Linked DNA regions of Nothobranchius furzeri. The main gene of each other region encodes a partner of the protein of the gene in region 2 in a complex. Links are inferred from orthologs where the notes say so. Each region holds a gene or a part of one and is shown on either strand. Other genes may lie near its edges.

Region 1 (6,093 bases), about 26 Mb from region 2:
GACGGCGTACCAGAGGAACCGCATGCGGTTTGCTCAGGTAGAGCATATTGTTGCAAAACAGTTTAGTCCTGATGAGACTATTGAGCTTCATGTAGGTCAGCAACAGACGTGGCTTTGTTTCCACAGAGGAACCTTCGCAGGGACAAGGACCGTAGGAACTTGACTCAGTTCAACATGCAGACACTTCCTAAGAGTGCCAAGCAGAAGGAGAGGTGAGATCATTACTCTGAGCTCCACTGGAAAGATCCAAGCTGAACAATGAGCTTTACCTCACTCTTTCGCCTTTTCAGAGATCGTTTGCGTCTGCAGAAGAAGTTCCAGAAGCAGTTTGGTGTCCGTCAGAAGTGGGATCAAAAATCTCAGGTGTCGATTATTTAATTTCTATTGTTTCCCTTTTAGAGCAGCAGAAATCAAATCATATTCACCAATAAAAAAACACATTCTTGGTTTATTTTTAAAGGTGCGGTTCATTGTTTAGTCGGTGCATCTGCAGTGGTCTCTAGTAGGAAGGGATACCTTGTAAGTCGTACTCTGTGGGTGCATCGGGCAGAGTGATATTTGTCCTTAGGAAAACCGATTTAAAGTCGGGCACATCCTTGGGCAGCCAGGTGCTGTAGCAGAATTTAATTTAAATGTATTTTTATGTTCATTGTTAAATACTCTAAATAAACTTTATTTATGTGTCTAATTTTAACGGAGTGCACAACGTTAAAATTTAGAAGTTGGTTCAAAAACCGATTCAACTTCAGAAATTTAGTGCATTAACTGATGTTGTTAGTGACATTTTAGCATGACCAAGAAGTGGAAAAACATCTGGATTTGGCCGTAAAAGTCACATCGGCTATCTCCTACGTGTCGGCGTCGACTTTAGCTGTGTGCGTCGGCAATAGAGAAACCAGTAGAGGTTGACCTCTATTTTCTGCTTCAGTCTGAGGATTCATGATCACAGATGAATGATTCTGAAGTATTTGGGTCTGTTTGAAGCCGTTGTGATGGTCTTTGGTGAATTTGTGTGTTTGTGCTGCTTCTCAGGCCCAGCTGAAGCCCAGAGACTCCTCTGTGGAGGTGAGGAGTGACTGGGAGGTGAAGGAGGAGATGGACTTCCCCAGACTGATGAAGATGCGATACATGGAGGTTTCTGACCCTGTTGACATGTAGGTGAAGCTTGTCTGGTCTGGTCTGGTTTGTGTTTGGGTTGAATCTGTACATCTGTAAAGTTCTGGTCCTCCTGCAGCGAGTGCTGTGGTGCGTTGGAGTACTACGATAAAGCGTTCGATCGGATCACCACCCGCAACGAGAAGCAGCTGAAGAGCATCAAGAGGATTTTCCACACCGTCACCACCACCGATGATCCGGTCATCCGGAAGGTTGGTGGCTCCTCACCGGTCCAGCTCCTCCAGAGGCTCTGAATGTTTTCTGGGTGGAGTTCTAATCTGGTTCTGCCTTCCTCCAGCTGGCGAAGACTCAGGGCAACGTGTTTGCTACAGACGCTATCTTGGCCACATTGATGTGCTGCACACGCTCCGTCAACTCCTGGGACATCATCGTGCAGAGAGTCGGCAACAAGCTCTTCTTTGACAAGAGGGACAACTCTGACTTTGGTGAGTTTTGGGGAGTTCGCCGAACCTGCCTGAAAACGGAGGAGCTCTGGTTCCATCTGCAGTTGCAGCCAAAGGCATCAAACAAAACGCGATCACGTCTGCGTTTAACCTCCGATTAATGCAAGCAGAACGATTTATTTTAGGTTGTTTTCCTGAATTATTTGAACAGATTTGCTAACTGTGAGTGAAACCGCCAACGAGCCTCCTCAAGATGAGGGAAACTCCTTTAACTCTCCTCGTAACCTGGCGATGGAGGCCACCTACATCAACCACAACTTCAGCCAGCAGTGTTTACGTGTGGTGAGACCATCACACACAGATCCAAACACACACACTCACACACACACTCTAACGTTCAGCTGTGTTCAGGGAGGAGAACGGTACAAGTTCCCAAACCCTAACCCATTTGTGGAGGAAGACATGGACAAGAGCGAGGTGGCGTCTGTGGCCTACAGGTAGGTCCTGGGTTCTGGTGTTGGCTCCATCTGTGGGACGTGATAACCGGATCTTCTGACTGACTGGTGCTTTTTGGGGATTCAGGTACCGTCACTGGAAGCTCGGGGATGACATCGACCTGATCATCCGCTGTGAACATGACGGAGTGATGACTGGAGCGAATGGAGAGGTGTCCTTCATCAACGTCAAGACCCTGAACGAGTGGGACTCCAGGGTAGGAGACACCGTTACTGGTTTCAGAGAAGGGAACAAAAGCATGTCCAGTAAGACAGCAGCAGCTGGCTCTGGGTGCTGCGGCCAACAGGAGGCTGTGGGTGGCAACAGGCGGTTGGTTTCCTTTTGGACCGCTTCAGTTCTTAAAACACATGTTCCATGTTCTTATTTCCTGCAAACGAAATCTTTCTGTAACTTTTCTTGTCTTCAGCCTAAATAAAGGCTAACTTAAACTAGGGCTGCTCGATTATGGCAAAAATAATAATCACGATTATGGTGACTGAAATTGAGATCACGATTATTTAAGACGATTTTTCAATTTATGTTGATTTTATTTGTTTTTATTCAGTCACAAAATTGCTCAGGCCACAATCAGGACAACAATGAATAAGAAACAAGATGATCACTAAAGTAACTCCTGATTCCCAGTATAAAAAGACCAATATACTTATAGCTCATAGTCTATGACCCAAGGGCTGTAGACCTTGGTTTAACTCATGTAAGTCTAACCAGTACAGACCCAAATACCAATATCTTGCAAATACTGACAGCAAGAATTATACAGTGGCATTTATAACAAATAAATGCAAATAAATTGATGTTCACAAAATGTTGCATAATATTTATTTAGTCGTGTCAAAGTGCTGTAGGAGAGTGCACTAGCACCGTGTCCTCAGAGAGATTAGTTATCAGCGTGAGGAACTTATTTCTACCTTATTTATAAACTATTTATTTACAAGTCCATCAGTTAATGTAATAATTGTCTCAACCACAGCTGCACCCCCCACCCCCCACCCCGGTCTCACAGCAATCCGGGGCAAGCTGCACGTGTGTTTAGCACGCGCACATTTAGCCGTTTTTAGTGGCTCAGGAGTCCGCAGGTGCGGTGTGTGTGTCACTCACTCTGGTTAATCCAACAAGGAGCCGGCTCCGAGAGCAGTTTCTTAAGCGACTGACACATCACTACATCATTCCCTTTCCTAATGTCCTGAAGAACGGTCCGGACGCGCAGGCGGAGTGTTTAGCTAACCTGCAGGAAATGTCGACGACAGTTATCCAGAAAGTAGCTAAGGGTTACCAGAGATGTTTCTGAGGTGGTCGCTAGGTACTTTTAAGATTTAAAAAGTCAAGAAGGGGGTCTGAAAAGCTGTTAGAAATAGCGTCAAAGTCACTAAATTGGCAACACTGTGGGAGGAGCGCTTCATTTGTAACTCAGGGCAGCGCAAGCGGGAGGAGCAAATAATCGGCTTGTTTTGTTTTTTATAAACGTTCAAAACTCAGATCGTAATCGTGATTAAAATTCGATTAATTGAGCAGCCCTAACTTAAACTAATCTATCAAGTCTATAAGAGGTCAGAATTCATGTTTACAAACCCTCCGGCTGACTTCTGACAACCACCGCCTTCTTGGTCTTCCTGATCAGTGGGACGGTCCAAAAGTTCACATTTTCCTAAATAATAATTTACAGATTCAGATATCTAATTAACATAAATTATTCTTATTGCTGAAACCAGTCATCTCTATAATGTTGTTGGTTCATGTGCAGCAGCCCGGTTCTGACGGGGAGTTGTTGATCCATTCCTCATCTCTGTTTCATCTTCAGTATTGTAATGGAGTGGATTGGCGCCAGAAGTTGGACTCTCAGCGGGGAGCCGTTCTGGCCACCGAGCTGAAGAACAACAGCTACAAACTGGCCCGCTGGACCTGTTGTGCCATGCTGGCCGGGTCGGAGTATCTGAAACTGGGGTGAGTATGCCGACCCTGTGATGGGAGCTAATGGATGATGGTCATTAAGCAGGCTGGACCTGACTTCCACCACGTGTGCTCCTCAGGTACGTGTCTCGGTACCACGTGAAGGATTCTTCTCGTCACGTCATCCTGGGAACCCAGCAGTTCAAACCCAACGAGTTTGCCAGCCAGATCAACCTCAGCATGGAGAACGCCTGGGGGATCCTCCGCTGCGTCATCGACATCTGCCGCAAGCTGGATGAGGGCAAGTACCTGATCCTGAAGGACCCCAACAAGGTGAGTGGAAACGAGTCCCAGAGGACCAAAGACGGAGGTCCAGCTGACAAGTACTGACTCGTTCTCACTCTGGTTCCACTAAACAGCAAGTGATTCGAGTGTACAGCCTGCCTGAAGGTACCTTCAGCTCTGATGAGGAGGAGGAGGAAGAGGAGGATGAAGAGGATGAGGAGGAGGAAGGTCTGTTATTTTAAACTTGGTTTTTGAAAACCGTTTAGAGTGAAGTGACCTGAGAGATGAAGAGAAAACTAAAATCTTTTCAAAAGAAGGACCTGAATCATGCTGATGTACACTTTCCAGAGCAAAGATGGCCACAATAGAACCGTTGGCACTTTTGAAATGTGATTCTTTATAGAAGAAGTTATTTTCGTGACTTCAGAGGCTTTCAGGTTTCTGGATAAAAATACCATCTATCTACTTTGTTGTCTACCACATGTGCAGCACACGCATACGGAGAATGGAAACTATTTCCCTCTGACCCTTAGTGCAGTACATCAGCTTTAAAACGAGATCTGATGGTGTTTTTGTTTACATTGAAAGCATCTCCATATTCAACCTGATTTATTGATTTCTTGTTTCAGATGAAGAGAACTGAAATGTGGAGCTTCCTTCTGTGACCAAACCAGCCTTCATCTGGAGAAACAGTTGAATTGATTTTGACACTTAATAAAAACAGAATGGTCAAATTCAGTAAAGGATTATTGTGTAATTTTGTTTTTATTTCGGAGGAATACAAATAAGTCAAAAACAACTAGAGTTGTTTTCTGGTTCGTGACCAGCAAGGCTCTCGATTTACCGCCCAGTCCTCACCTTTGGTCATGAGCTTTGGGTAAAGACGGAAAGAACAAGATGGCGGATACAAGCGGTTGAAATGAGTTTTCTCCACGGGATGGCCGGGCTCGGCCTCATGGGCTCGACACACGGGAGGTGACATCGCCTCTCCATTCATGTTCAATCAGACGTGCGTGACAAAGCGATAATCGGGTCTCCCTCCTACTAAGCCAAATGCGAAAAACGTGCGTGTGAAATTTTGTGCTCGTGCACGTGTCGTGCACAGGCGACCCAGCGACGCGATCCCAGAAAGTTGAAATATTTTCAACTTTTCATCGCTGTCGCTCGGACGAGGACCAATCAACGGAGGTTTCATTCACTGACCAATGAGCAGACAGGATGCTCCTACACCTCCGAGCAAACATGGAGGAGAAGTTGATTATTATTATATTTTATAGTAAAATCAAAAGTAAGATTTCACATAACTCTAGCAGCACCTTGTGAAACATCATATCTAGCGCTTTATTAACTCTGAACCGCTTAAATAACCTTAATTCCCTCCAACCTGACACAGCCAAGCAAAACAACGGAAGTTTCCATTTCACCATGGAACAGAACGCGTAGACGGCTTTGCCGCTGCCGCGGGTCGCCTCCCGTGTGTTCGGTAATAAAAGCGACAGCGAGGAATTTCGCTGATCGCGGTCGTTTGTCGCCTCCCGTGTGCTGAGCCCCTTAGGGATAGGGTGAGGAGCTCTGACATTCGGGAGAGACTTGGAGTAGAGCCGCTGCTCCTTATCGAGAGGATTCAGTTGAAGTGGTTTGGGCATCTGGTCAGGATGCCTCCTGGACGTCTCCCCAGGGAGGTGTTTCAGACATGTCCTGCCAGCAGGAGCCCCCCTGGTCGACCCAGGACACGTTGGAGACGGTACATCTCTGATCTGGCTCTGGAACACCTTGAGCTCCTGCCGGTGGAGGTGGTTGAGGAGAGGATGGTCTGGAACTCTAGTTGGGATGCTGCCCCCACGAC
Region 2 (6,011 bases):
TGAACTTTTATCACAATTTGCTAATTTTTTTAGAAGGACCTGTAAATAATACACAACCTCATGTCTTCAAGGTATGGCATTAAAAACCTTGTTTCATCGATGGATGTTAAACAGGCATCTGAAGAACTTGAGAACATGGTGAAGAAGTGAGTCGATCACTAACCCAGGTGTTGGAGCAGGTAAGTGGTGGCAGAGGCTTGCAGCATAGAATAGTCCTGCTTTACAGCATTCACACATCTGGATTATGAGCTTATTTAAGACGCCTACACGTGTAAAGTGAGTTACGCGGTAAACAGATGCATCTTTTTACACAAGGCGTTGCCATTTTGTTTCCTGGCCACAAAATGAAGCATTTGTAAACATCAAATATGCAAGACCATAATGACAACATGCATTACCAATGTGTTTGTCAAGTTTATCATGGCAGATTTTAATGCATTATAAATATTTTGGGGCAGTGATTGTAGTAATTTCTACACACATTGTCCATGACTGACACAGGGACCAACTGTGGGAACCACTGTTCTACAGCAGATGGTAAAACATGACTTCAAAGAACCATCTCTAGGCTCCAGACCTTAGCACAGAGTCAAACAGAGAAGCAGCGACAAATTATCTTTATTTAGGTAACGGCCACATTTCATTAATTCTGGCATCTTTCTGTTAAGATTCTGATGAAGTCCTCAGTTGTTTGATGGTCTGTAACAGAAGTAAATTATGTTAGTGAATATGAAACACTGATCATTTTACTGACAACAGTGATAATTTACTTACTTGGCCCATTCAACATTGAGAATAAGATGATCATATCCAAATCCTGACACTCCTGCTATGGCTCTGGCAGCATCCTCCCTACGGTGGAAACTGATGAAGGCAAATCCCTGCAGAGCAATAAAAAAAAATCTGACTGATGATTCTTGATTTTTTCAGCGTCAATCTCAAATCCTAGATGGTAGATAACAGCAGGTTGCAGAAAAACTGTGAAAGGCCAGCACTTGTAAAGCCCAGTCACCCCTAAGGTGAGCACTAACCTTGGACTGTCCCGTGTTCTTGTCCTTTGCCAGATAGATCCTTGAGATGGAACCAAACGGTCTGAAAAGCTCCTGCAAGTCTGTCTCACGAGTGTCCTCAGACAGGTTGGTCACACGGATGGTAGCGTTGTCATCAGCTGTTAAACGCAATGATTCGTTTTACTGAGACGTTTATTCAACGCTGCATGACCAGATTAAAAATGACCACATATTGCTAATGTAGCACCCATACCAACACAAACTGACCTCTGCGGTTAGGCTGCATAGACTCCCCTCTTCTTGTGCCTCCATCTCTCAGGCTCGGCGGGACATACTTTCCAGTTTTGCTTTGTGCAGGCTGAACAGGCTCTGGCTCAGCTAGGAAAAGCCACAATTACTGTCACACCTTTAGAAACTAGCAGCAGCAGACAAGTGTGGTAATGAGAATGGTGATAATGGTACCAGAACCAGCAGTCTTTTCCTTGTCTCCAGTGGAAAGCCCAAGCTGCTCAGCCAGCTCCTTCTGCATGGGGCCCAGCGTGTCCTTATACGGGCAGCGGGTCGTCCAATGGTCCCCTTTACAAATACGACAAGACACAATCTTCTGCCCTTTGAGCTTGTTCATTGGATCCTCATCTTGGTCTTGGGCATTCAGGTCCTGCAAAAAAAGCAAGATTAGCAACTTTGATAAAACAACTTGATTACAGTAAAAATTACAAATTTGCAGCCATGAACTTCATAAATTCTGAGTCACATTACAGAATGAGAAGATCTAGAGCTGTTGAATGTGGTAATTGTGAACACCAAGCAAGCTGTAAAAAGTAGTGCAAGCAGCATTTTAAACCTGCTGCGAACTATCGATGCTCCATTAGAACATTTCCTAAAGAATGTTCTTGTTCGTTTTTGCGTTCTGAAGGAAAACAGCAACTTGGACATATCCTGTACCTCCTTGCTGGAGATGAAAGTCATGAAGACGTCATCGCTGACAGTGGTGGTTGCAACATTAGGACCCGGTGGGTCAAACTCAGAGTTGCCGAACTTCTTCCAGTTCTGAAATGAGAGTGGTAAATATCAGAAGGCGGTTCATTTATTAACTGCACTGATATGATTTAATAAAACACGGACCTTTCTTCTGGCAACAGCTTTTGAGGCTTTCCTCGTCTCGATCTTGAAGGTCCGCACAATCTAGAGAACCAAAATGTTTCACTTATAATATTTCAGGAGACATTTATTATTTGCCTTTTAAATTTATTGATGCAACATAAACAAAGTACCTTGAACTTTTTACCATCATCATCTATCTTATACTCAGTGATTGTTTTGATGTTTCCTTTGATGGTCTCCTTTGGTGATGGTAATGTGCCTATGGGATCAGAATCATTAGGGTTTTAGTGACATATGTGCGAGAAATCAGATTAGGAAATTGCTGCGGCACTTTGTGCAAAAAAGAACGATTAAAGTAAGAAAACAGCAAATATGGGAAGTAAGAATATAATCAAGATAAAGGTATACAACATTCGCAGATGCACGAAAAACAACCATAAGCTTAACATCCGGGGATACTTTAATAACTTTCAACTAAATGTGAGTTTATCTGGGACTGATCTGAACTGTCAGGATCAGGATGCTCCTGATGTGACGTCACATCTTCGTTTTCACATCAACTGGAACAGTTGACGACTTTAAATGTTTTATGAATATTTAATCAGTCTAGTTTCCGTCAGCATCATTATCTTGACTGTTTTTACACCCCTACGTCACTGTCAGGGGACCACTGCCTCATTATCATAACGCAATTTCTTAAGCCGTTCGTCTCTCAGTCACGCCAACCCATGACTGATTTAAGGGCAGATTCTTATAAAATTTAACAAACTTGCATATTTTAGCTCGTCTTTAATGCTGTTCAACCACGTGGAACTGCAACACCGGCCTCCTTTGTGTAACCGGGTCAGGGGAGCACTGAGTGTTTTTCTTTATATTATTGTCTCTTGTCTCGGGTCCCTACAGCGGCTTTGTGCTTTTAAATAGAAATAGATGGCGTTGCGTGTGTAGTCCCAGGGCCAGCATTGTCGTCGCTCCTCCCTCCCGTGTTTTAGAGTTTTTAGTCTACTTTTTATCCCGACCTGGGTTGTATCTATAAATAAAAATTGTTAAACTTGTGAATAAGCCTCTGCTGTTTTCATCAAGGGTTATTATCACCTACGGTTTTAGGATCTTAAGCATCCAACCCTCTAGGTCACATTTGCCACCGAGCTAGCTAGCGAAGCTAAAATGCTGTTTACCTTCATCTACTTCCTCCTCCACCTGGTCAGCCCAGCTGGGCTTTGAGCTAGAATAGAATCACACAAACTCGTTATTACAACGGTTACACGCATTCAATAAAGACACAAAAACCCTACGTTTCATTTAGACTCTTACTCGTCGTATTCAATCGACGGCATCCTCTCGGCTAGCCTAGCTTCGGAAGAACCAGCGCGAACCGAGCACCGCACTTCCGGAGGTTAAAACTTCGCAATAAAGGCACAACTCGTCAGACTTTTTCAAAATAAGAGCTTATTTTTGGTGCTGACAAAAATTGTTGACAAAATCGTAAAATTGCATAATAAAAATTCGTTGTTATTGTTATGAAAATAACTTCTCATGTGGATTCTTAATGTGAATTCTGTGGTAACTTAATTCGTATTTGTGCTTAAAAATATTAGGAGCATCAGATTTACACATTTGTTGTCAAATTTCTCAAAAGTCAAAAGAAGTATGATGAGTTTACAAATCACCCCAGTGGCAATATTAGATCGTTTTTATTTCATTACAAGCAAAGAAAAAATGCACATATTATAGAAAACATTAACTTCTTCCTCCTCCCTGCTGTCTCTCTTTTTTCACTTGGAACATTGTACTTGATGAGTGTGTTGTGAATTAGTGATGAAGGAAATTGCAGAATGAGAAAAAAATAACAAATGAAATGAAACTTCAATCTGGTTTTCAGTGGAGCAATAAAAGTACTGGAACTTTTACAAAAGTGCTCAATCACTATTCCAGCATAGATTTTGGGTCATAGCAATTATAGTTATGAAATAATAATAACAACAACAACAACAACAACAATAATAATAATAAATACAAGATGTTTGTTTTTCCTGATAGGTCATATCAACATAAGAAAACCGTCATTACATCAGGATTTGTTCCAACGCTGCAGGAAAGAAAAACTGTCAGCAGTAGCAGGTGCAGACAAAACGTGTGCAGAATTAATTTCATATAAAACTAGAGGTTCTTATGTTGTCTTTAAAAAATAGCAATAATATGTGAATGACTGTGTTGTGAAGCACCTTGGGGGGGTTGTAGAACCCTAAGAAGGCGCTATACAAATAAAGACGATTTATAATGATAATAATAATAATACATTTTATTTCAAAGCGCCTTTCAGGACACCCAAGGTCACTTTACACAAAACACGTAATAAAATACAATAAAACAATAATAAAACCCAAAGAAGAAACAACAGAGAGAAACATTTCAATAAAATCAGAGGTTTTAGGCAGATTTAAACATGTGTGTTTTGAGTTTTGTTTTGAAAAGGGTAAAACTGTCGACGTTCCTGATGTCTGGGGGAAGTGAGTTCCAGAGTCGAGGAGCAGAGCGGCTGAAAGCTCTGCTCCCCGTGGTAGCGAGACGGGCAGAAGGAACCGCAAGATGGATGGAAGAAGAAGATCTGAGTGAACGGGACGGGGTGTGAATACTTATAAGGTCTGAGATATATGGAGGAGAGAGGTTGTGGATTGCTTTGAAGGTATGAAGGAGAATTTTGAAGATGGACCTGAATTTAACTGGGAGCCAGTGAAGCTGCTGGAGAACCGGGGTGATGTGGTGAAAGGAAGGGGTTCTGGTGATAATACGGGCTGCTGAATTCTGTGCCTGTGCATTCTGGTAAAACGATTTACCGTTTAAAAATAAGCAATAAGGATATAGCTACCATACATGAAACCACTGAGCAGCAGCTCTACTTCCTCTGTGTCTGTTCATCGTCTTGCTCTTGGCCATTTCCACAACACGCTACTCTAATGCTGTCAAACACAGCCATGTAGAGCACTGGATGGATGCACATGTTCAGCGTCGCTAGACCCTTTGACACCTGATACATTATGTAGAACCCGCAGGTAGAGTCGTGAGGATTGTAGATTTTCTGGTAGAAGTGACAGATCTGAGAGAAGTGGTATGGTATGAAGGACACAGCATACAAGGCAATCACTGAAGTGACCAGCAGGGTTACCTTACGCCTCTCAATCACCGTCAAGCTGGCATTCTGCCACACCACACGGATCACCAGGCAGTAAGATGTGAAAGTTACCAGGAAGGGGACAAGGCACCCAAACACCGTGAGGAAAAGCTTGTGGGTGAAGTGAGGCATTGGGTCTTTTGAATCGCAGAAGGACACACACACAGTGTTGCCTTTGTTGTTGGCATCAGGGCAAATGGAAGCAAATTTCCACACCGGGGAGGAGATGACTCCAACAGTGATCCAAATGATGACGCTGACGACTTTAGCATGAAAGGCCTCCACATACGAGCGTGCAAAGAAGGGCCACACGAGAGCCACACATCTGTTCACGCTGATTGCCATGACGAAGAAGATGCTCACGTACAAGTTGCATGTGAAGAGAAACCTCTCAGTTTTACACATGGCATCCCCGAACACCCACTCTTTTCTGTTGGAGTAGTAGACGATCAGCAGAGGCAGGGTGAGGATGTACAGCAGGTCGCTGATGGCCAGGTTACAGGACAGGACCACACCTGTGTGCCAGTTTCTTCTTTCTTTAGTGAACAGAAGCCACAAAGCAAACACGTTTCCAGCCAAAGCCACGACAAATTCAAGCCCGTACATGTACGGCAGCACGCCGATCTGAAAACCCTCACAGCTGGAGAAGTTGCTTGCCATCTTCCTTTCAGGTCGAAGTTATCCTCTTACTGAGCCGCGACCACAGGGATTATAATTTACTGTAG
Region 3 (5,808 bases), on a different chromosome or scaffold from region 2:
CTCATGTCAATATTACCATGTTATTACATTTTCAATACTGCAACATCAATAATCATCTACACCGTACAGGGGTCCTCAGTTATAACGGTCCGAGGGCTACTCACAAAAAAGACCCAGAAGCAAGAGGGCCGGATTTTTGGGGGGGGGGGGGGGGGGGGGGGGGGCTGCTGTTTGGATCGCTGGCTGTGATGCACATAACACACAAGCTTGCAACATAAAGAAGTACCTTTCTCAGCGGCCTAGAGGTAGAGTGTCCGCCCTGAGACTGGGAGATCAGGGTTTGATTCCTGGCCGGGTCATACCAAAGACTTAGAAAAAATGGGACCCAATGCCTCCCTGCTTGACACTCAGCATTAAGGGGTTGGATTGGGGGGTTGAACCACCAAATAGTTCCCGAGCGCGGCTGTGTCTGCAGTTCACTGCTCCCCCAGGGGATGGGTCAAATGCGGAGAACAAATTTCGCACACACACCTGTGTGTGTGACAACTAATGGGACTTTAACTTTAAGAACACCTGTCCCTCTCCAGCTCAGCTGTGTGACTGCACTAACCTGTCCTGTGGGACCCTCACCATGTAACCCTCATGTCCATGCCGTCTCTGGAGGAGCAGATCATACAAGATCTCCCGTAACTTAAAATGAACCAAAGCCTCCTCCCAGTTTCTCTTTAAGCTGAATTTAACATCAGTTTATCATCATTAAACAAAAGAATAAAGTGGAACAATAACTTCTATCTTCTATTTCTCTCTCCTTTTAACTTCTCCGTGTCCCTAAATAAAAGAGACAGATGATCACGCTGCAGCCGCCGTCACTCACCCCGCTCCCTCCCCAAGGCCAGATCTCTCGACATCACAACACTGACTGAGCGCTTCGAAGAGAAATAATAATGAAATTATGAAAATAATAATGCGTGTTTGGAGGAGTGTCCTCCGACCCCCTCATCTCAGTCGCCGATTGAGCGAGCAGAGTGCGCCGTGCGACAACCCGCTCAATTAACATAATTCACGGCCCAAATCCAACAGAACCAATTGGGCTGATTCGGTTCGGTCTCAGGTTACAACTCCAGCACTCAGCCCTGCAGTACCACATAAAGGCGGACCAAAGTTTCCTACCCGGTAAATGTGGAGAACACCCACTTTGACAGATTTGGATGCTGGTGCCGCCGTTAAAATAACAAAACCACATTCCACTATAATTGATTAAGGTACTCTTCTATGACGCAGAAATAGTTTATGCCCGCATCTCATGCATTGATTATGAGTATTTTCCTCAGCTCTATCTATGCTACACCTCCCGGTCGGCCATCGCGGGTGGGGGTTTGGGGGCCACAAAGAGAGGGCTCGCCGGCCGGACGTGGCCCGCGGGCCGCCATTTGCGGACCACTGATCTACACACATGGTGATATTACCTCCTTATCTGGATCACCTACGTATGTAAACATCCCACCAGTTAACTAAATATATTCTAATGTTACTTTTATATCAGATACACTAGCCCACATCAAAACAATAAAATATGCAGTAACATTTATGCATATTTATTACTAGATGGCTGTATATCACTTTATACCAAAATGGGCAACATTTATTCTGAAGAATTTTTCCCACAACCTTGAATGTGTGTAAATTGACAGAAAATACTTTAATGTTTTTATGCATTCATTGAGAAGATAAGGTGTTTTTCACCGTTCTTAAAACAGTTGAAATAAAGATTATTCTCAAAACTAAAAACTTATGTACACTTGACATTTCATGGGAATAATGCAAATACTCATACAGATAAAGATCATTCTTTCAGCATTTCCAGAAGTTTGAAAAACACCTTGTGTCACTTAGTTATTACAGTAATTTCTACTAAAACCTAACATTTAAACTAGGTAATTTGTTTATGTTTATGTATTTAGCAGACACTTTTGTCCAAAGCGACTTACAAGTTATAATCGGCATGTTGCCCTTGAGGCTAACAACAACAAACAATTTTCAGTCAGTCGTAGGTGGCAGTGAGGCTGCATGATGAATCACGGAGAGGAGGGAACACGGAGTGGACAGGAGAGAGGAGGACGGGTGCAGGGAAGGTGCTAGTTTAGAAGATGCTCTCTGAAGAGCAGGGTCTTCAGGAGTTTCTTGAAAGTTGAAAAAGAAGCCCGTTCTTGTAGTGCTTGGTAGGCGAGTGTGCTCTTTTTGGCTGATTGAAGACCAGATGTGCCGTTGCGTTCTAGACCATTTGAAGAGGTCTCACAGTACAGACTGGAAGACCAGTTAGAAGGGCATTGCAGTAATCGAGGTGGGAGATGACAGTAGATTGCACCAGGAGCTGGGTGGCATGTTGTGTTAGGTATGGTCTGATCTTTCTTATGTTATACAGCGCCAAGCGGCATGAACGAGCAACAGAGGTAACATGATCTTTAAAGGTCAGGTGTTCATCAATCTCAACACCCAGATTTCGAACTGCCTTTGAAGGAGCCAGAGATAGGAAGTCATTTTGGATTGAGATATTGTGCTGTATGGATGGTTTTGCTGGGATGACAAGTAGTTCAGTTTTAGAGAGGTTCAGTTGGAGATGGTGGGATTACATTATTATGCACTGCTACTACTTGCCCACTTAATCAGCTTCAAGTAAAAATATAAATCTTTAACCATTTTAATTTTGGCTGTCAAGTTATTTTACCGAATATGAGCTGTAAACGATAAACAATGAATGTGGTAGTATCAACAATCCATTATTTGGCTCAACTCCTGTAACACACTTCCGTTTTTCTGTTACAATCCCAGTGATCGATGCAAACTGCCAGCTAGCAGCAGAAATACAGGGTCCCAATGCAGCCTGTGACAATCAAGACTAGAATACAATGAATTCGTGCTTTTTGTAGCTCACCTCATCTTCGGACTCGTTGTGAGGGACAGAGAAGCAGTTGGTCACCTCAATAGAGTGCTTGTCAATAGTACCTAGAACACACCAGATAGAAATGAGTGTCTCGTTGGGTTTCCTGGTGAATCAGCATTTACGTTCAGCTCCAGCGGTTACCAGATGCGGTTTGATTCAACACTGAACCGAGCCAACGTGCGCTAGCAGATTAGCTGAGGAGTTAGCTATAGCATTTTAGCTAGGAAAATTAAGTCTCCTCCCCCGGCTGGACAGATATTTCAGGTTTCTGCTTACCCAAGAGAGTTCCGATCACTCGACTTGCCCCCTCATTCCGACGCTCGTAAGAGTCAGAGATAGAAGCAAGAACGACGGGATGAATTTTCACCACTGGCCCGAACACCGACATCTTGGAGAAAGAGGACGTACCACCGTCCACAGCGACAACATACACCGCCACCTAGAGGCGGGCGGGCAAACTGCAGCTATTGAATCCTACGCTAATAAACAACTCGTCAACAGTGACGACCCAACAGGTAAACACCTGTTTCTGAAAGCAAATAGAACATACTCTTTTTGATTTTTCATGGTTTAGGGCGTAACTTGTATAGTTTTGCAACAATAAACGCACACAAAACAACAAATGCAACTGTTTATTTAATTAAAGCTAAATGTCACACATTTATGATTAAATGCAAAAACTGCAGTTGCTGTGGGGTCAGCAGGTGGGTGGAGGAAGACCGTCCCCCTTCTGTTGTAGAGATGAGATGAGCCTGAGCGAGGAAGGGTTACAGGGGCTGGACTGATGATGACAGCGTCCTCCGCCGCTCAGAGGCTGCACACCTGCCGACTCCATGAGACGCACAGATGAGATGATGGAGCTTTTCGCGCTGCCGGCTCATCCTGTTGCCACCATTTCGCACATCCTGGCACATGTTTTACAGACGCCTCTGCGCAGTCGTTGAAGTTAAAATGTGTGTTTTCTCACCGGATGACGTTTTTATTTACTGCGATTATTGAGCGATCGTTTTCGAGGCGCTTTCTTCCCCTTCTCCGGGTCGGTTTCCCGGACCGGCTCGCTGGTAGCTATAAAGAGCAGAAATGGGAGTCACCGAATCAAGGTTGCCAGCACCGGTTCGTTCATGGACCAGATGGTTGTTCATAGGATAAAACATCAGCTCGATCAATGCCAGAAGTTTCCACACTGAGCGGGTAGGTTTTTATTCATTCTCTGCTGGTTTTGGCACGAATCCGCTCTCTGGATCGTTTGGTTTCTGTTGCATTGTGGCTGACTCATTGACACTGTCAAGAGGCTATTTCTGATCCATCCATCAGGGGTGATGCGTCATCTTGATCTATCTCTCCTCCTGCATGGACGCACAACATCTAGGTCTGTGGAGGACCTGGACTCCATTTTACTGTGCAAATGATTCAGGAACACCATGCCTCACTGCATGTTTAACTCTGAGTCCTCTATGGGACTTATGTAAGAAATCTCAGCAGGCTCACAGAATAAATCCAACACATTTAACATCAAGTGCATGCTCACACACACACACACACACACACACACACACACACACACACACACACACACACACACACACACACACACACACACACACACACACACACACACACACACACACACACACACACACACAGAGCCCAAAGCTTTTTGTGAAACTAGCATAATTAAAGTGGCTCTAATGTGCAGCTGCTCTCCAGGATTAGGTTGCCTCTCAAAGGAGAGATTTATTCTGTCCTTGTGTTTCATAAAAACACACATTAACTAACAATAAATGAACAACATAATAATTTCTCTTACGCTGTATAATAAATCAAGTTTGTGCTGTGTGTTATTGCAGAAAAGACAATTTTAGTCAACAATTCCATAAACCCTAAAGGCGTGGGAAACTCATTTAAGCAACTGGTAGGAATGAGTGCCTTGCAAGCTTTACTCTGGGCAAAGAAAGCCCAGAAACGCCTGGATCAGCATGGGCAAGTCTGCCTAGAGGAGAGCTCAACATGGCAGGATTTGGGCTCATATTTCATAATATTTGGACATCTGGCCTCAGATTGGATGACAGAACTGTGACTCTACCTCTGACTTTGTTTGCTCTGAGACATGGATGTTTTATCTCCACAAATAACACAAGCCTGGGGGAGCTTCTGCCATATGGTTGATTTGCTAATGCTAACACTAACAGTTAGCTTCTGCAGGCCAAGATGCACTCTGCTAATTCTAGATGCTAAAGCAACAACAGCCTTCCCCGTCCAGAGCCAGGATGGGTGAAGCTACCGCTTGACGTAGATCTGCCAGGCTTTTCTGATCCTAGCGTTTCACTGTCTATTTTCTGTCAGAAGCTAATGCAGGAGATAGGTGTAGGAGACTATTTTCATGTTCAGCCTGCATGAAAACATACAGAGTGACCCATTATAATCAGAAATGGTCATTAAAAAATGGTTTTCCAGTGTTCTACACTTTTAAGAGAAAACAATAGAAAATCTATTTTCTGTCAAAACAACAAATTGATTCCATGATTTAATTCCATCACTGTTGTTCTCCTCTTTCCTTCCAGGCTTCAGTCAAGCAAACAAATGGTCCAATCAATAGCAACTGGACACAGTCTAACATAGGGAGGATATCAATAACACGCTAATACACTTCACACACGCAGAGGCCATGGCAACGGAGAACTCTGTCTTCCCTTCACGTCCCGACTCCTTGGCACTCCCCGTAGAGGACAAGGGTGACGGTGAGGAACCGGAGGTGGCCTCTACAGGAGTCTTCAACCTGTCAGAGGAGCTGGGACACGTCGTCACCACTCAGACGACAACATCCCCTCCCGCCTTGACTAAGGTCAACAGGTCGTTCCAGTCCAAGCTGGCTGAGCGGGAGGCCAACGCCAATCAGCAAAGGAAGAAGACCCAGGGGACAGAAAAAG
Region 4 (5,763 bases), on a different chromosome or scaffold from region 2:
ACTCCCCACCTTGCCACTGTGAGCCACAGCTGGACACAGTTGCACTCCCAGAAGAGGCAAACTCCCCACCTGTCCCTGTTCTTGTCCCTGCACAGGAATAAAGCAGGACTGCTTCGTCTCCTCCTCCCTTTCAACGTCCAACCACCAGCCTACAGGCCGCTGGAGCAGCTGATGTTCAACGCTGAGCTGGAATCAGATTTACACCAGATGAGTCCAACAGAAGGGTTAACGTGTGTCCTCCCAGCGTCATCTGCAGACGGGCTTCCTTCACCCCATCCTCTCCAGCTGAAACTAAGCTAGTTCAGATCATTTTATTACAATAACTAGAGTTGTTGCTGAAGGCTTTACTGAGCTGTGTGGGAGGACACCACCTAAGCAGGTTTACCACAGGTGTGTGTGTGTGTGTGTGTGTGTCTTAAGTGTTGTTTTCTTCCATCTCTACCATTCCTTCCTTTAAGTAAGAGCTGTGTGGGACTGTTGAGGGAAGCTTTTCAGTCCAGCCTTTTATCCTTTTTTTATTATGATTTTTTTTGGCAGAGTAAATCCTGGATTATTAAAGAACGTTTTAGAACTAAAACGTTTGAACTCTTATTCATTTGTGTAGTGTTTAAATGTGAGTCTGTATTTATTGTTGAAATCATACAGTCACTGATATCGGGGGTTAAAATAAAGGATATTTTCATTTAAGCTGATCATTTTCATTCATTTTACTCCAAATTTGTCATCCTTACCTCTCCTGGGTTATGTTGCACATTACCAGTTTAGTTATTAGTATTAGCACTTTTATCTCATTTAACTCCATCTTTGTTCCGTGTGTGTGTGGGATGTACCTGTTTATATCTGTGATGGTCCTGGGAACGGCAAAGGCTTCTGGTCAGGTTTATTCTAAAGAATGTCAAAGTTCCTCTATGCAACGCTTGCATCTTGGTTTTATTCTGTGGCCTCGACCCACGAGCACTTAGCTGAGAATGTAATCTCATCATATCCACTGTTCTGCATAAATGTGTCGGGGACGACATATCTCACAGTTTAAGGCCTTTTTCTTCCAAGGGGTTGATACTTTTACATTGGGTGCTTTTGAAATGTGCATTGATCTGAGCCAAGTGAGAAAACTGAGAGGAGAAGTCTAATTTGATTTGGTTTCCTCCAAACACACGCCTGTTTCCCCTGTGCACTACATATGTAGTTTCGACAAAGCAATGCCATCCGAAACAGAAATGCAAATGTTTTTCAGTCTACCATAGGATGTATTCACTGTACTGTTTACTTTTCATATAAACCAAAGATGTCTCCCTGTTGTAGTTTATCTTTTGCAGTATGTTATTTTCTGGCCCTGATTTTAAATAAAATTAGAGTATGTCTGATTTTCTGGCAGATTATTTTTTACAGTGAATTATTTGTGTCATAATGAGAATTTTGAGAACTATGGAGATAATTTATTGTGATTTTTGAGATTTTGTGTCACCATATTTCCAGAATGAAGGGCACAGGACTAATTTTTCTTTTTAAATACTGTATTTGATGACCTTCAAAAAGAATCCAATAAAATCACTGTCAGAAAAGTAAATTTAAGTGACAGAAACTAAACGTAATAAAAGAAACTGGTGAGGAAGGAGTGGTTTCGTGACTGACAGAAATGCAAAATGATTTACAACTTATACAGGAGGGTGGCATGTTATCATACATTATGTTGATAAATATCATGTATGTAGCAGTATTCGGGATTAAATATTCACAAATGAGCTGATAAGGAGCAGGACTGAAACGAGCACAAGTTTGGGATCAAATTACTTTATTTTCTAGATTCCAGAAAGTCCTTCATACCACATTTGTCCAGGAGGGGGCGGCAGGTCGTCCATCTGCGGTTAATACCATCGAAGAAGAAAATGGAAGCCTTCTCTTCCGCCACAGCTCCGGTGTCTGACACATGAGGGTTTAACTTTTCTCCCATTGTGAGGCGCAGCAAATTGACTAAAGCATCTGGAAACACCTAGCTGACGACAATGGTTGGTATATTTATTTACAAGGCAATGTTTACCTGGCGGTTTTCAGTTTTTGTTCTTTAGCTTGTCGCTGTAGTTTGGGGTTTTACTTTGTCTGTTGTGGCTAGCTATAGCTTTTCACGTTAGCTAATGTACATATTCATTTTGGCAGAAGTCTTGAGTTAGCTAAGCTATGAAAGAGATTTCTGTGACTCGTATAGTGTTGGTGCTTTACGCCTAGGCAAGTCAAAGCTACGTTATTCTTTCTTTTTTCAATTAAAACAGTCATGTGTAAATGCTAGCTTAATCTGAACCGTTATCGGTGTTTCTAGAAACCCATTTTGCTCCAGGGCCACGAGAGGTCCATCACACAAATCAAATACAACAGAGAAGGAGATCTGCTCTTCTCGGTGGCTAAAGATACAGTGAGTTGGTACACACTCGCTCTTCTGTCGGATCATTCAACACGACGTTTGGGAGCAGCCAAACTCATCCCTGCTGTTCTGCTGCTATCCAGGTTGCCAACGCGTGGTACTCTGTGAACGGAGAGAGGCTCGGGACCTACAATGGACACACCGGAGCTGTGTGGTGTGTTGACTGTGACTGTATCCTTTGCACCTCTGCCTAATGTAAGCTAGGGGTGTCTGTCAGTGAAGTTAGGCATCTTAACTAGTTGTCTCAGGGGACACAAAGAACGTGTTAACAGGATCAGCAGACAACAGCTGCAGGCTGTGGGACTGTGAGACTGGTAAGTAAACCTTAACAATGTGCTTTTCCAAAGAGGTGGACATGATTTTTAGGGTATTGGGATAGTTTGTAAACCTGACATCATGCTGTCTAAATGACATCTTTAATGTGTTTTCACAGGTAAACAGCTGGCTCTGCTCAACACCAACTCTGCCGTCAGGACGTGTGGGTTCGACTTCAGCGGCAACATCATCATGTTCTCCACCGACAAGCAGATGGGTTACCAGTGCTTCCTGAACTTCTTTGACCTGAGGGATCCACAGCAAATAGGTAAACATTAAATGCGCAAACACACACACGCACACATGTTCTGCAATGGTGTGGCCACAGTATATGGACTGGATATATACCATTTTAAACAAACTTTCTTACACTTTTTGCAATTTTTAATGTCAGTCAGACACCTAAATAAAGTTAATTTAGACCAATCCTGGTCCTGGAGGGCCGGTATCCTGCATGTTTTAGTTTGAACTCTGTTTCAATACTCCTGATTTCAATCAGCAGCTAATTAGCGGTCTTTTGCAGCGCCTGATGAGCTGCTGCACAGGTGTTTCAACCACTGAATCAAGTCTGTAGGAGCAGAAAAACCACAAAACCTGTTGGATACCGGTGTCGGCACAGGATCTGCTCGGGTGCAAAATTGGCTCAGGGTCCGTCGACTGCCGATGACGTCTAAGTAGTTGATTGGCTGCACATGAACCTTACGGAATTACGTAATCACGTTACGTTGTTATCACGTTACGTTGGTCCAGGCAAATCTTTCTGTTGGAAAGATGGACAACTTTTACAAAGAAATCCATCATTACCTCTTTGAAAATACACTTTGAGCATAGAGCTGCATGTATATTAGGGCTGAACGATTAACTGCATGTGTAATTAAATTGCGATGTGACAAAAGGAGATTTTCTAATCGCAAAGGCTGCAATTTGGCAGCGAGTGGTTAGCGCAATGCTAATATACATGGAAAAACCCATAGGAATGCTAATGCTAATATCGCCGATTACATGATCAAATTATGAATTAGAAACGTGCCAAATGATTACATTTGGAGTCTAATAGAAAGTAAAAATACCATCAATCAAATAAGTACAGACAGGTATTTTAGTAAAGCCAGAAAACTTTTAACTCCAGAGTTTTGGCTAGCAGCTATGAGCGTAATGAACTACGCATGGACAAGACGTCAAAAACTCTAAACACAAAATACTTCAATAAATGGGACACACTTCTTTCCTGCAAATACAATTTCACAGGTGTTGCTAATACCTATGATTCTTCAAGGGATGTGCTCAAAGAGGAGTTCAACATCATGACTACAATATAGTGTTTTATTTTACAAATACCATTATAAACACAAACTTACGTCTTAAGAAACATTATTTTAATAAGGAAACTGCTAAATTCTTTCCAACAGTATAGATGTGTACTGTATTTTGTCCGAGTGGGTTTGCCGTACTTTGACGTCATCGGCAGTCGAAGGACCCCGAGCCGATCTTGTACCGACACCGGCCCTCCAGGACCAGGATTGGGCACCCCTGATTTAGAGTATTTATTATGCAGATGTTATTAGTGAATGTTGGGGAAAAAATTTGAATTAAATTCTGCAACAGCACCAGGGTGACTATAGATGTGCCTGACTTTAAATCAGCTTTACTAAGAAAAAACAGCCGATGAATAAAAAACTAAACATTGGCCAACCAATATAATCGGTCCACCCCTAATTCACTCATTCCTTTATTCCATGTAGCAGCTCAGTGGTCACTGTTTTTCAAAATTGCATTGATTCATGTACCAGACTATTAGACGAAGAAATAAGTTAAGATCGTCTAGCCTAGTGAACTAGACCAAATTCTTGCCTTGTAATGTTTGGTGTGGGAACGCTCCACCGGAACTTCTGAGGCCTCCTAGCAGCATTCTGGCAGATGTGTTTTAGTCTTTTATTTAGAAAAAGGATGTATTTTTGCCGCCTTCAACGGCAGACATCCTTGTTTACAGAGGTTGCGGTGAGTACTCCACGTTGTTCGTTGTCCAGTAGGGTGCAATGATTGTTTGAAAGACAACGGTAGAACCCGCCCCACGACAGGCAATGGAACATTAAATAATATTATGGATTTAGTCTGGCGTGCCAGGCTAAAGAACATCCAAAATATCTCAATTTAGAGACTATTTTAAGCTAAAGAAGGTCATAAAAGTGCCAACTATGCTTCTGTTGAAACACACGTAGATTTCCTCAATAACACGTGTGCAGCAACTTTTCCCACACTGAAACATTTCAAAATGAATTGACATGTTTTGTGCACGTGTCCTGAATCAAGTTGAAGATGGTGTGATGTAGGGTCGTCACGGTGTGAAAATGTAGCCTCGCGGTTATCGTAACCAAAATGAAAACGGTATTATCGCGGTATTTTTTTAAACGTGTTACATTTTCAGACAACTAAATAAACCCTGTATGTCAGGAAAATATTGTCCTCAGTTTGTGTCTAAATTTTGCCTAAAACGTGTTATTTTGTAATTATGTTGTTTATTTGTTTACATTTTTCCCCTTTAGTCTTTAAAATACCAATATTTGCCCATAACTTCAAAATTTTTTGTCTGTTTGATGTCATCATTTTAAAAATATTAGACCAGATGATACTCAGTACTCAAGTAGCCTTCTAATCAGATACCGTATTTTCACGACCATAGGGCGCACCGGGTTATAGGGCGCGGGCATGGGCACGTTCAAACGTACCGGTGTCGGTACAGGATCTGCTCGGGTGCAAGATCGGCTCGGGGTCCTTTGACTGCCGATGACGTCAAAGTACGGCAAACCGACTCGGACAAAATACACTACACATCTATACTGTTGGAAAGAATTTAGCAGTTTCGTTATTAAAATAATGTTTCTTAAGACGTAAGTTTGTGTTTATAATGGTATTTGTAAAATAAAACACTATATTGTATTCATAATGTTGAACTCCTCTTTGAGCACATCCCTTGAAGAATCATAGGTATTAGCAACACCTGTGAAATTGTATTTGCAGGAAAGAAGTGTGTC

Evidence for each region.
Region 1: eif3g (region 2) and eif3d share a complex: the UniProt entries of both Homo sapiens proteins name them as parts of the eukaryotic translation initiation factor 3 (eIF-3) complex. The link is inferred for Nothobranchius furzeri from reciprocal best matches to the Homo sapiens genes EIF3G and EIF3D.
Region 3: eif3g (region 2) and eif3f share a complex: the UniProt entries of both Homo sapiens proteins name them as parts of the eukaryotic translation initiation factor 3 (eIF-3) complex. The link is inferred for Nothobranchius furzeri from reciprocal best matches to the Homo sapiens genes EIF3G and EIF3F.
Region 4: eif3g (region 2) and eif3i share a complex: the UniProt entries of both Homo sapiens proteins name them as parts of the eukaryotic translation initiation factor 3 (eIF-3) complex. The link is inferred for Nothobranchius furzeri from reciprocal best matches to the Homo sapiens genes EIF3G and EIF3I.

Annotation. Positions count from the first base shown.
Region 1 is NC_091745.1:29,242,154-29,248,246, forward strand, and holds the end of eif3d (eukaryotic translation initiation factor 3 subunit D), read left to right. Parts: coding exon 1-37; intron 38-126; coding exon 127-212; intron 213-290; coding exon 291-363; intron 364-1,032; coding exon 1,033-1,154; intron 1,155-1,234; coding exon 1,235-1,367; intron 1,368-1,453; coding exon 1,454-1,601; intron 1,602-1,770; coding exon 1,771-1,901; intron 1,902-1,970; coding exon 1,971-2,056; intron 2,057-2,141; coding exon 2,142-2,271; intron 2,272-3,873; coding exon 3,874-4,016; intron 4,017-4,102; coding exon 4,103-4,295; intron 4,296-4,381; coding exon 4,382-4,475; intron 4,476-4,876; coding exon 4,877-4,890; 3' UTR 4,891-4,993; downstream 4,994-6,093. UniProt on the Homo sapiens protein: mRNA cap-binding component of the eukaryotic translation initiation factor 3 (eIF-3) complex, a complex required for several steps in the initiation of protein synthesis of a specialized repertoire of mRNAs.
Region 2 is NC_091745.1:3,308,654-3,314,664, reverse strand, and holds eif3g (eukaryotic translation initiation factor 3 subunit G), read right to left. Parts: upstream 3,533-6,011; 5' UTR 3,452-3,532; coding exon 3,429-3,451; intron 3,340-3,428; coding exon 3,293-3,339; intron 2,374-3,292; coding exon 2,285-2,373; intron 2,196-2,284; coding exon 2,136-2,195; intron 2,061-2,135; coding exon 1,956-2,060; intron 1,669-1,955; coding exon 1,473-1,668; intron 1,389-1,472; coding exon 1,278-1,388; intron 1,169-1,277; coding exon 1,032-1,168; intron 882-1,031; coding exon 775-881; intron 700-774; coding exon 684-699; 3' UTR 603-683; downstream 1-602. Other genes in the region: suppressor of SWI4 1 homolog, read right to left, coding at 5,011-5,963. UniProt on the Homo sapiens protein: RNA-binding component of the eukaryotic translation initiation factor 3 (eIF-3) complex, which is required for several steps in the initiation of protein synthesis.
Region 3 is NC_091751.1:40,238,761-40,244,568, reverse strand, and holds the start of eif3f (eukaryotic translation initiation factor 3 subunit F), read right to left. Parts: upstream 3,316-5,808; 5' UTR 3,270-3,315; coding exon 3,158-3,269; intron 2,944-3,157; coding exon 2,873-2,943; intron 1-2,872. Other genes in the region: kcnj9 (G protein-activated inward rectifier potassium channel 3), read left to right, coding at 5,547-5,808. UniProt on the Homo sapiens protein: Component of the eukaryotic translation initiation factor 3 (eIF-3) complex, which is required for several steps in the initiation of protein synthesis.
Region 4 is NC_091751.1:3,239,151-3,244,913, forward strand, and holds the start of eif3i (eukaryotic translation initiation factor 3 subunit I), read left to right. Parts: upstream 1-1,866; 5' UTR 1,867-2,003; coding exon 2,004-2,006; intron 2,007-2,314; coding exon 2,315-2,407; intron 2,408-2,499; coding exon 2,500-2,587; intron 2,588-2,664; coding exon 2,665-2,730; intron 2,731-2,849; coding exon 2,850-2,999; intron 3,000-5,763. Other genes in the region: txlna (alpha-taxilin), read left to right, coding at 1-101. UniProt on the Homo sapiens protein: Component of the eukaryotic translation initiation factor 3 (eIF-3) complex, which is required for several steps in the initiation of protein synthesis.